3 linked regions of the Ovis aries genome follow. The protein of the gene in region 3 interacts with the protein of the main gene of each other region in a pairwise test. Links are inferred from orthologs where the notes say so. Each region holds a gene or a part of one and is shown on either strand. Other genes may lie near its edges.

The links.
Region 1: the proteins of TFIP11 (region 3) and THAP8 interact in binary tests that used the Homo sapiens proteins (3 or more experiments, as listed by UniProt). The two-hybrid records come from large-scale screens. The link is inferred for Ovis aries from reciprocal best matches to the Homo sapiens genes TFIP11 and THAP8.
Region 2: the proteins of TFIP11 (region 3) and LATS1 interact in a two-hybrid assay, tested with the Homo sapiens proteins (2 studies listed by BioGRID and IntAct). The two-hybrid records come from large-scale screens. The link is inferred for Ovis aries from reciprocal best matches to the Homo sapiens genes TFIP11 and LATS1.

Annotation. Positions count from the first base shown.
Region 1 is NC_056067.1:46,019,529-46,023,281, forward strand, and holds the start of THAP8 (THAP domain-containing protein 8), read right to left. Parts: upstream 2,414-3,753; 5' UTR 2,305-2,413; coding exon 2,222-2,304; intron 1-2,221. Other genes in the region: WDR62 (WD repeat-containing protein 62), read left to right, coding at 3,000-3,176.
Region 2 is NC_056061.1:73,957,988-73,960,921, reverse strand, and holds part of LATS1 (serine/threonine-protein kinase LATS1), read left to right. Parts: intron 1-1,311; coding exon 1,312-1,821; 3' UTR 1,822-2,934. UniProt on the Homo sapiens protein: Negative regulator of YAP1 in the Hippo signaling pathway that plays a pivotal role in organ size control and tumor suppression by restricting proliferation and promoting apoptosis.
Region 3 is NC_056070.1:66,369,653-66,373,405, reverse strand, and holds the start of TFIP11 (tuftelin-interacting protein 11), read left to right. Parts: upstream 1-1,472; 5' UTR 1,473-1,536; intron 1,537-3,131; 5' UTR 3,132-3,140; coding exon 3,141-3,349; intron 3,350-3,753. UniProt on the Homo sapiens protein: Involved in pre-mRNA splicing, specifically in spliceosome disassembly during late-stage splicing events. Intron turnover seems to proceed through reactions in two lariat-intron associated complexes termed Intron Large (IL) and Intron Small (IS).

The sequences.
Region 1 (3,753 bases), on a different chromosome or scaffold from region 3:
GTAAAGAAAATATGCACGTACTGGAAGAGGGTTATCATTTTACAGAGTAGTGGTCATAAAGAGAAGAACTTTCTGTGCAGAGGCCCTGGGGCAACAAAGTGCCTGGCATGCTAGAGGAACATCAAACAGGCAGGGACACTGGCATGGAGTGAATAAGGGGCAGGAGAGAGGAGACAAGGCCAGACAGTGGGGATCCAGTGCCTGTAGGGCTTCGTGGGCTTGCTTTCTGCCTGCTCCAGCCTCACCTTCTTGTCTTTTATACAGTCAGGTGGCAGCCAGGGGAGGCATCTAAGCCCTGATCTGACTCAGGGGGTTACCAGTCCCCTGTGACTGCACGTGGAAAACAGACTGTGGGAGCAGCTTGTCAAATGGAGAGCCTACTAAAATAGTGCAGTCAGGAGGTGGCCAATGCCAGGGTCGGGGCAAAGATGGGGGAGAGAAGTGGTCAATTCTGGATAGACTTTAAAGGAAGAGCCTGGACTTCCCTGGTGGTTAGTGGTTAAGAATCCACTTGCCAATGCAGAGGACATGGGTTCAACACCTGGTCCAGGAAGATTCCACGTGCTTCAGGGCACCTAAGCCTGTGGACCACAACTACTGAGCACACTCATGCAACTACTAAAGCCCCCACACCCTGGCGCCTGCGCTAACAAAAGAAGCCACCACAGTGAGAAGCCTGGGTACCACAACTAGAGAGTAGCCCCCACTCACCTCAAGTAGAGAAAGCCTGTGTGCAGCAATGAAGGAAGGCCCAGTGCAGCCAAAAATAAATTTAAAAAGAATTTTTTTTTTAAAAGGAATGCCAACAGGATTTGCTGATGGACCAGATGAGGAATGTTTCCTGGCCCATTTAGACTAAGGCCACCAGGGACAAACCTGGAGTCTAATAAAGTCAGGTTTATTTACCATGGCAATAAGTGAACTGCACACCAGAAGTACTGTGGGGAATTTCATCAAACAGAGGAAAATAATTATTATCGGGGTTTGCATGCTAAGTCGCTTCAGTCATGTCCAATTCTGTGACGCTATGGACTGTAGCCTGCCAGCTTCCTCTGTCCATGGGATTCTCCAGGCAAGAATACAGGTGTGGACTGCTGTGCCCTCCTCCAGGGGATCTTCCTGACCCAGGTCTCTTACATATCCTGCATTGACAGTTGGGTTCTTTACCACTAGCGCCACCTGGGAAGCATCATTATTGGGGTTTGGGGGATGGGTAAAGTTTAGATGAAATGTAAGTGAAACAGTGTTTGGATAAGATCAAAGCAGAGCAGAACTGTGAGCAAATGGATCAATATCAGACCTGGATTGCAAAGTGGGCCCAGGTTCTGTCTCCTTGGAAGCAATAAAGTTTGGATAGATATGAACTACTGTGTCCAGAAACCCCTTACCTGAAGCTTTGAACCTGGACTGTAAATCAAGGCTGCTTCTCTGTGTCACAGCGACCTAACTTCTCCAGGCCTTAAGTAAGATGTTTTATTCCTACTGTTGTAATTTCAAACAGCAACGTTTGTGATAGCCTATGATTTTAGAGAACAAAGCTTCCTAGTAAAAAAGCAGTAGTTGCTTAAAGAAGGGAAGTTTTGCTACTTCACATCTGCAGCACGTCCCTAAGAAAAATTTTTTTCCTATTAACTCTTCAGCCAGTTTTTCCCATCTCTGTTATCCCACCTAAATAAATTAGAAGGCAGGTTTTTTGGGGTTTGTTTTAAAAATTCAAGCTAAGTTTTACTTTCTCAGGTGTGAGAAAAAAGTAAAGTTGGTTTTAAGCATTTCTAGCCTGAAAGACAGTAAAGGATGGAAAGCTATTAGATAGGAAAGCTTATGGGAAGTTCTGGGAGAGTCAGGAGGTCGATTTCGGATGTTTTGAGTTTGAGATGCCTCAAGTTCGTGGGGATGACGAGTGGGCAACTGTAAGCTCTTTCTGAGCCTGGACCAACCTCACTCCTCTACACAGCCCTCCCTTTCCTCCGTTCGCCCCGTTCACTACCTGCAGTTAATCTTCTATCCCTGCTGTATCATACCTTTGCACGTTTACGTGTACCGTTTTTACTGCAAGTAAAACGCGGGGAACATCGTCCCTTCAGCCAGCTAACCCTGCTTCCAATACCTGCAACCTGGACCAGAAGCCTGGCGCCGCCGCATTTATCCTCGGGCCCCGCCCCACATTGCCCCGCCCTTAGCCCCCGCCTCCCTCTAAGCCCCGCCCCTCGCTTGCGCTCACTTGTAGAAGCTCACAGGGCGGTTGTCCGCGCCCAGCTGGCCCGCAGTGTTGGAGCAGTTCGGAGCCCGGCAGTACTTGGGCATGGCTGTCCAGCCCAGCTGGGTTTTGCCCGGTCTGCAGCCGCACTTTGATCCTCACCAGGCGCCGCCGAACCCCGCCCCACCTGCGCGCTTGCCGCCTGCCTCACGTGACGGCCCTTGGGTCCTCGTCACATGCGGAGGGAAGGAAAGCTGCGCCTGCGTATTACGCGCCAGACGGCGTTGCCACATCACGTGGCAAGTGGATAAAGCAAAGCCGGCTCTGAGACGCGGGCCTTCATCACGTGTTGGGGAAGAGGTGTCGTCAAGACCTTTCTGAGTCTGCGCAAAGTCTTCAGTCTTTTTTCGGCTCCACCCTAGCTTACATCCCGGCGACTGCTACTGCGAGGATAGTCGGCCTAGGGTTGGAGGTAGGGGGCTTTGGCATTAGCCTCGTAAAAGTTCAAAAGTGAAATTCAGTGAATGATAAAAACACAGACGGGATTAAAAAAAAACTCCACAACGTTCGATCAAACATCTAGCAAAGAAGCCGTGGCTCCACCCAGCCAGAACCCCCGCTCCGCCTCTTAGCCCTCATTGGTCAAAAGCGCCGCCGGGTAACCCTGAGATTGGCCAGACCAGCAGCCCCCCGCGCCCAATGGGCGGCGGCGCCGGCTTTCCCGCGGCCGTTCGCTATTCAAGTGGACCGTGGCGGCTGCGGCGGTTGAGAAGTGTAACGGTCGCCGAGCTCCGACGCGACGATGGCGGCCTTGGGGTCCGGAGGCTACGCGCGGAATGATACAGTTGAGAAGCTGCCATCAGTCATGGCGGGAGTTCCGGCGCGGAGGGCCCAGTCTTCTCCGCCCCCGGCTCCACCGCTCTGCCTCCGGCGGCGGACGCGACTCCCGGCGGCTCCCGAGGACACGGTGCAGAATCGGGTGAGGAGTTGCTTGCCTTATCCATCTCAGTTCCAGGTTCCCTGCTCGTCCTTGGTCCCACCCTTAAATCTTTGGCCCCGCCGACCAGCCCCCGGCTGCTACCCCTCTGGCTGCTCTCTGGCCTGCCTTGTCCCTAAGCCCCGCCCCTAGATGAGGCTCCTCCCACTTCCTCGTCTCCTCCTCTCTCGGGTATTGCCCATCACCCCTAGTCCCACCTCTCAACCGCTGGCCCCGCCCTCAGTCTTAAAATTTTTTTTTTTCTGATTGAATGATCATTGCTTTACAGAATTTTGTTCTCTGTCAAACCTCAACATGAATCAGACATAGGTATACATATATCCCCTCCTTTTTGAACCTACCTCCCGTCTCCTGCCCCATCCCATCCAACTAAGTTGATACAGAGCCCCTGTTTGAGTTTCCTGAGCCATACAGCAAATTCCCATTGGTTATCTATTTTATATATGGTAATATAAGTTTCCATGTTACTCTTTCCATACATCTCACTCTCTCCTCCCCTCTCCCCATGTCTGTAAGTCTATTCTGTATGTCTGTTTCTCCACTGCTGCCCTGTAAATAA
Region 2 (2,934 bases), on a different chromosome or scaffold from region 3:
CTGCTGGCTTTGTTTCCTTGCACGTACATTCTGGCCCCAAACTACTAACAAATGTCTGTATCTCCCTAGCATTTAAATGAAAAGCTGCTCACAATGTTGATCATAAATTATCCCATTTAAGAAACCTTTTCGTGGCTTTGTCTATAAAGTCCCAGTCTTTCCTCTGTTCCTGTGTTCATACCATTCCCTCTGTACGGAATACCCTTCTTTCTCTCCCATGTTTCACAACTTTCCCTCCTTTGTGTTTCACTCCTGGGCATTTTTAATCATTCTTTGAGTGTGTCTTGACATACTGTCTCTTCTGTGACACTCTACCCAAGTTATGTTCTGTCTGTCACTTCATTTAATACACTATATTTAAAACTTCTTCAGAATTTCTTTTGTTACAGGTTTACTGGTAATACATTCTCTCAGGTTTGTGTCAGATTTGTCTGAAAGTATCTTTATTTTGCCTTCATTTTAATGCATATGTATTACGAAATAAATGCATAGGTAGAAATACAAATATGTTTGTGTAGGTGCTGTGTGTGAAAAATTGGATGCTTTCTCCCTAAAGATGAAGAACAAGGCAAGGATGTCTGGTCTGAGTCTTATTCAGCATAGTTCTGGATGTCTTAGCCAGTGTAATACAGCAATGAAAGGAAAAGCATAAAGGTTAGGAAAAAAAACACTTGCTTTATTCACAGGTGGCATAGTTTTCTATATTGAAAATCTCAGGCAATCTGTGAAAACCTCCATAGAACTAATAAGTGAGTTTAATACAGTTGTAGGGTATGAGAGTAATATGTAATAATCAATTGAATAGGTGAGCCAATTCTAAAATTCATTTGGGTGGACAAAGAAACTGATAACAAAAACAAGTTTTTAAAAGGATAGAGTTTGAGGAATCAGCTACTTGATTTTAAGACTTAAGAGGAAGTTACACTAATCCAGATAGTATGATATCGGCAAGAGGAAAGAATGAGTGAACTTAAAGAAAAATCAATAGAAATTATGCAGTCTCAACAGCAGAGAGAAAAAAGAGTTTGAAAGTACAGTAACTTCAGGGACTTCCCCAGCAGTCCAGTGGTTAAGACTCTGCACTGTCAATGCAGGAGGCATGGTTTGATCCCTGGTCCGGGACCTAAGATCCCACAAGCTGTGTGGCGTGGCCAAAAAACAAACCAAAAAAATAAAGTGAAGGAATGTGAAATACCATGCAATTTATTTAAAAACACACAAATAGTCCAGTAAGACTTCTTCATATAAAACTTGGAGGAAATTTGTTTTTCTTACCTCTTTCCTTCTAATTTTTAAAAATCTTCTTTAAAGGTTATCAACTGGCAAACATCTCTTCACATCCCACCGCAAGCTAAACTGAGTCCTGAAGCCTCTGATCTTATTATTAAACTCTGCCGAGGACCAGAAGATCGCTTAGGCAAGAATGGTGCTGATGAAATAAAAGCTCATCCATTTTTTAAAACAATTGATTTTTCCAGTGACCTGAGACAGCAATCTGCTTCATACATTCCTAAAATCACACACCCAACAGATACATCAAATTTTGATCCTGTTGATCCTGACAAGTTACGGAGTGATGATAATGAGGAAGAAAATGTAAACGACACTCTCAACGGATGGTATAAAAATGGAAAGCACCCTGAACATGCTTTCTATGAATTTACCTTTCGGAGGTTTTTTGATGACAATGGCTACCCTTACAATTATCCAAAACCTATTGAATATGAATATATTAATTCACAAGGCTCAGAGCAGCAGTCAGATGAAGATGATCAGCACACAGGCTCAGAGATGAAAAATCGTGATCTAGTGTATGTTTGACACACTAGGAAATAATTATAATGAGGATTGGCAAAAAGGCCTGAAACGCAGGGTTTTTTGAAGCTCTGAGAGTAAAATTATGCAAATATGACAGAGCTATGTATGTGTGCTCTGTGTACAATATTTTATGTTCCTAAATTATGGGAAATCCTTTTAAATATTAATTTATTCCAGCCTTTTAAGTCAGTAATTTAGAAAAAAATTTGTTATAAAGAAAGTAAATTATGAGCTGAATATTATAGTCAGTTCTTGGTACTTAAAGTACTTAAAATAAAAAATAGTGCTTTGTTTAAAAGGAGAAGCCTGTTTTCTATGTGTACATAATGCTAAATAATTTTTAAAAACAAGAATTTTTGAAATTTTTTTGAAAGACAGTTTTAGTTTTATCTTGCTTTAACCAAATATGAAATATATCCCACATTTACAGAGCTGGTTTTTTTTCCTTTCCCCATAACTTTATTCTTAGAAAAAATAAGCTATAGAAATGAAGGCATCATGGTGGTGAGTGTTCCTAGGCTAATGATAATCTGTATAATTCACATTTGATAAATTCAAAGTTGAATATGAATATAAAATATGAAATACAAAAATGAAATATAGTATGCTCATCCAAATGAAAAATAGTGCAGCTTATCTTTTTTCCCCCTGTGTAGAATATTTAATTTTTTTAACATATCTCAAAAATTAATGACTTTGAAGGAAGCAAATCACTACATTTTTCTTTCCATACTGGTATTTTTAATGCTGCTTTAAGTTTTTAAAGGGAATAAAGCTGCCATAAATTAAAAGTTTTAGTACTAAAGCTAAGATCTTTCATATTTTGACTTTGAGATTAAAAAATAATAATAATTCCACATTTTAAGCAGAGATTATTTTCAACTTCATATAAAACTTTGATTAGAACTTACTTGTGAGTACCTTTTCTATATAGTGATAGTTTGGATTATGTCATCAATAATGTTATAGATTTGCTCTTTCAAAACAGTGCTGCATACATGGACTGTTACTGGCAAAGGAAAGTCTGGCTGTTTGGCAGCATTTTACCTATGTCAGATTAATTGGTGAAAAAAATTATTATTATGTAACTCCTAATTAAGGTGGCCATTAGTAATT
Region 3 (3,753 bases):
GGGGCTCCAAAATCACAGCTGATGGGGACTGAAGCCATGAAATTAAAAGATGCTTGCTCCTTGGAAGAAAAGTTATGACCAACCTAGACAGCATATTAAAAAGCAGAGACATTACTTTGCTAACAAAGGCTCATCTAGTCAAAGCTATGGTTTTTCCAGTAGTCATGTATGGATGTGAGAGTTGGACTGTAAAGAAAGCTGAGTGCTGAAGAATGGATGCTTTTGAACTGTGGTGTTGGAGAAGACTCTTGAGAGTCTCTTGGACAGCAAGGAGATCCAACCAGTCCATCTTAAAGGAAACCATTCCTGAATATTCATTGGAAGGACTGATGCTGAAGCTGAAACTCCAATACTTTGGCCACTTGATGGAAAGAACTGACTGATTTGAAAAGACCCTGATGCTGGGAAAGATTGAAGCTGGGAGGAGAGGATGAGATGGTTGGATGGTATCACAGACTCAATGGACATGAGTTTGAGTAAACTCAGGGAGTTGGTGATGGACAGGGAGGCCTGGTATGCTGCAGTCCATGGGGTCACAAAGACTCAGACGCTACTGAGCGACTGAACTGAACTGAACTGAGCTTAGGTCTTTTCATCATACAGATAGAGTGAGAGAAAATAAAAGGTAAAATTAGCAGCTAACACTCCCTAAGCATCTGTTATGTACCAGGTACAGTTTTAATTGCTTACCTATTTTATCACAACCATTTTGCTTCAGGAAAGGTAATCAATGCCTTGCCTGGTTTCACAGTTGTTAAGTGGTGGAGCTGAGATTGGAACTCTAGAGCCTGTGTGCTGACGCGGAATCCAGAGCTGGTGAGGGTTTCTCTAGGAGTGTCCCTGCTTGTCAGTTCCTTTGATTCCCGGAGCCTGGCACATTGTAGGCACTAGGTACATTTTTATTAGATCAGTGAACTGATTTATTTACCAACCTGTTGGAAAGGAAGAGAATGAAAAGATTGCCTGGCAGAATACTTGGGAGTTTGCCCATTTAATCCTTCACTTAATCAAACTCCTGTAAAAGGCAACCGCTCCGGGCCCACGACCGTGCTTATACTGAGAGACTCGAAGATCCAGGAGACAGTCTTGACCTTCATTATTCCTATTTGAATGTCATGTGCCGTCCCCACGCCACCGCAAATGTCTCATGCACAAATGTCCCAGGAGCTAGTCTTATATCCCCATTTTGCAGATTTAGAATCTCAGGCTGACAAAGGAATCTCCCTCGGCCAGGGTGGCTCGGCGACGTCCGTACCAGTCGTCAGAGGCGGGCGTCACGAAGAAGTGAGCGCGACAAGAAACAACAGAGAAACAGCCCTTAGCCGTTCTCGGCCGCGAAAACCTTCACCATATCAATAACTCAAATGCTCTAAATCTAAAGCCGCCCCAGCGTCCCACTGCTGCCATGGCAACGAGCGCGTCACATCGGCTGACGTGACGTCATTTCTGGTGCGCCGCATTCGCGTTCCGGCGCCTTAGTGGCGCGTTTCTCGCACGGAGTGGGGCTCTGAGTTTGGTCCGCTGAGCCGGGGAGAGGTGAGCTGGGCCCGGGCGTGGACGGACAGGGGACGCGGGGGTGTCCGTGCCAGTAGGAGAGGGGACTCTGGCTCGCGGAAGCGGGCCTCGGCCTCGCCGGTCCCTCTTCCCTTTGGCAGACAGCTCGGCCGCAGCGGGCCGGGGGCGGGGCCGCTCGAGGTCTCCGGGCCGACTTGGACCCCGAACCTCCACCGCGGGGCCTGGACGGCGCGGCAGCGAGACGCCGAGCCCTGGCTGCAGTTCAGCTGGTGTCAAGCCTCACCAGCCGTGGAGCCTAGGGAAGTTAATTTCTCAGCCTCGTTTTACTGAAGTCTGAGGTTCGAAGGCGCTCGCAGTACCTCCCTCGTAGAGGTGCCTTGATGCCTATATTAGATTATCGGCCTGAGGCGTCCAGCAAGGGCTTACTTAGCACCTCCTGGGGGCTCTGTAACTCGTGACAGCTCCGTGCTTTTTACCATGCCCTGTGCCCGAGGAGGCGGCGGTGATCGGCGACTCCCATGTATCTGGGACACGCCGCCTCCTCTGAGAGTATTTCCCACCTTTTTCGCGCCTGGATGACGTTGGGACCGGCAGGACCCAACCATTGCACCAGTGAGTTGAGTAGAGTTAAGTAGGGAAAACTTTCCCACAGAGCTGACCAGAGTTTGAACTCGCCTTAGAAGTGTTGTGAGTTGGCTGTCCCTGAAGCCTGCTTTTTGCAGCTGCTAGACGGAGGCCACAGCGCTGTCCTGCACCTAATGTACTGCGTTGCGGTGCCCCATGCTTGGCACATGGTCTGCATTTAATATCCATGCATTGAGTACCAGGTAGAGTGGGGATTTGAACTCGGTCTGTGTGATTTCAGCACCTGCTTTCACAATCACTTTGCTCCATGCTAATCCAGTAATAGGAGGGGCCATAGACCTAATCTGGGACTAGAGTAACAGGCACTTCCTGTGAGCTAAGTGTTTTGAAAGAGCCATCTCATTGATTCTGCTGCACAAGCCTTCTCTAAGGTTGGTACTGTAGTTAATCCACTTAAGAGACAGCTGAATCTCATCACCCAGCTACCCTGAGTGGATTGCTGCATTCCGGTTCACAGATGTGTGCTGTTTTAAGGTCGTATTCATAATCACTACTGCCTTCTAGTGCCTCAAAAGAGGTTCCTGTCTGGGGAAGAAAACCTGAGGGTTATATATAAGTGTTTTCTAAAAAAAAAAAGAAATCACTTTGCTCAACTGTTATAAGTCCAGATGAAACTCTTCACTCAGCAATAGAAAAAAATAATATCCAGGAAGATGTTTGCCTCATTTGTGAGGCAGTCATCCGTAGAGTAACATCCTTAAATTGTTTTTACATGGTTTGTGTGTATGTGCGTGTGGGTGATGTTTGACAACATTGAGAAGGAAATATGTTTTTATCCACATGGACTGTTGGGACTGGTCTTTTTTATTCTGTTTTGGTACCTGTTTTGTAAAATACGTTTTTAGCGTCTGCTTTATTGAATTGTAACAGTGACTTCAGTGGATTTTAGTTTGGAGGAAGTTGTGAGGGCAGCCTTCTGCTGCTGCCCTGGGACTTGTCACAAACTGTGCCTTTTCCCTGCCTCCCTTCAGTGACGGGCCATGTCGCTGTCCCACCTGTACCGGGACGGCGAAGGCCACATGGATGATGACGAGGACGAGCGGGAGAACTTTGAGATCACCGACTGGGATCTCCAGAATGAATTCAACCCCAACCGGCAGCGCCACTGGCAGACCAAGGAAGAGGCCACCTACGGAGTGTGGGCAGAGCGAGACTCGGATGAGGAGAGGCCCAGCTTTGGAGGCAAACGGTATGGCTGGCGCGGACCGCTTTCCCCAGGCGTTGGGGAGCTACCCTGCTAAGTACGCTTCTCTCCCGGCCTCCCCGAGCCCCTTAGCTGCGGCCTCAGCCAGGGAGCCCAGTTCCTCCTTCAGACAGAGCACTGCTCTCTCACTGACCGATCGATCACGAGTGAGCGATCATGTATCTAAAGCCTTGTGCTGCAGCCCCAGTCCTTCCCTTCCAGGAGCCCAGACCCCGGAGGATGAAGGCAGGCTCACAAATGGAAGTTTGTAACTGACGTAGGACCGGAGGGGGAGTACTTTTCCGGGTGTTGACCCGTTCTGGGAGGTCAGGGAAGATTGAGTGGTGAGGGGCAGGAGGGAGCAGAGCCCCTTGATGGGAGGAGCAGGGCGCCCAGGAGGGTGTGAGTGG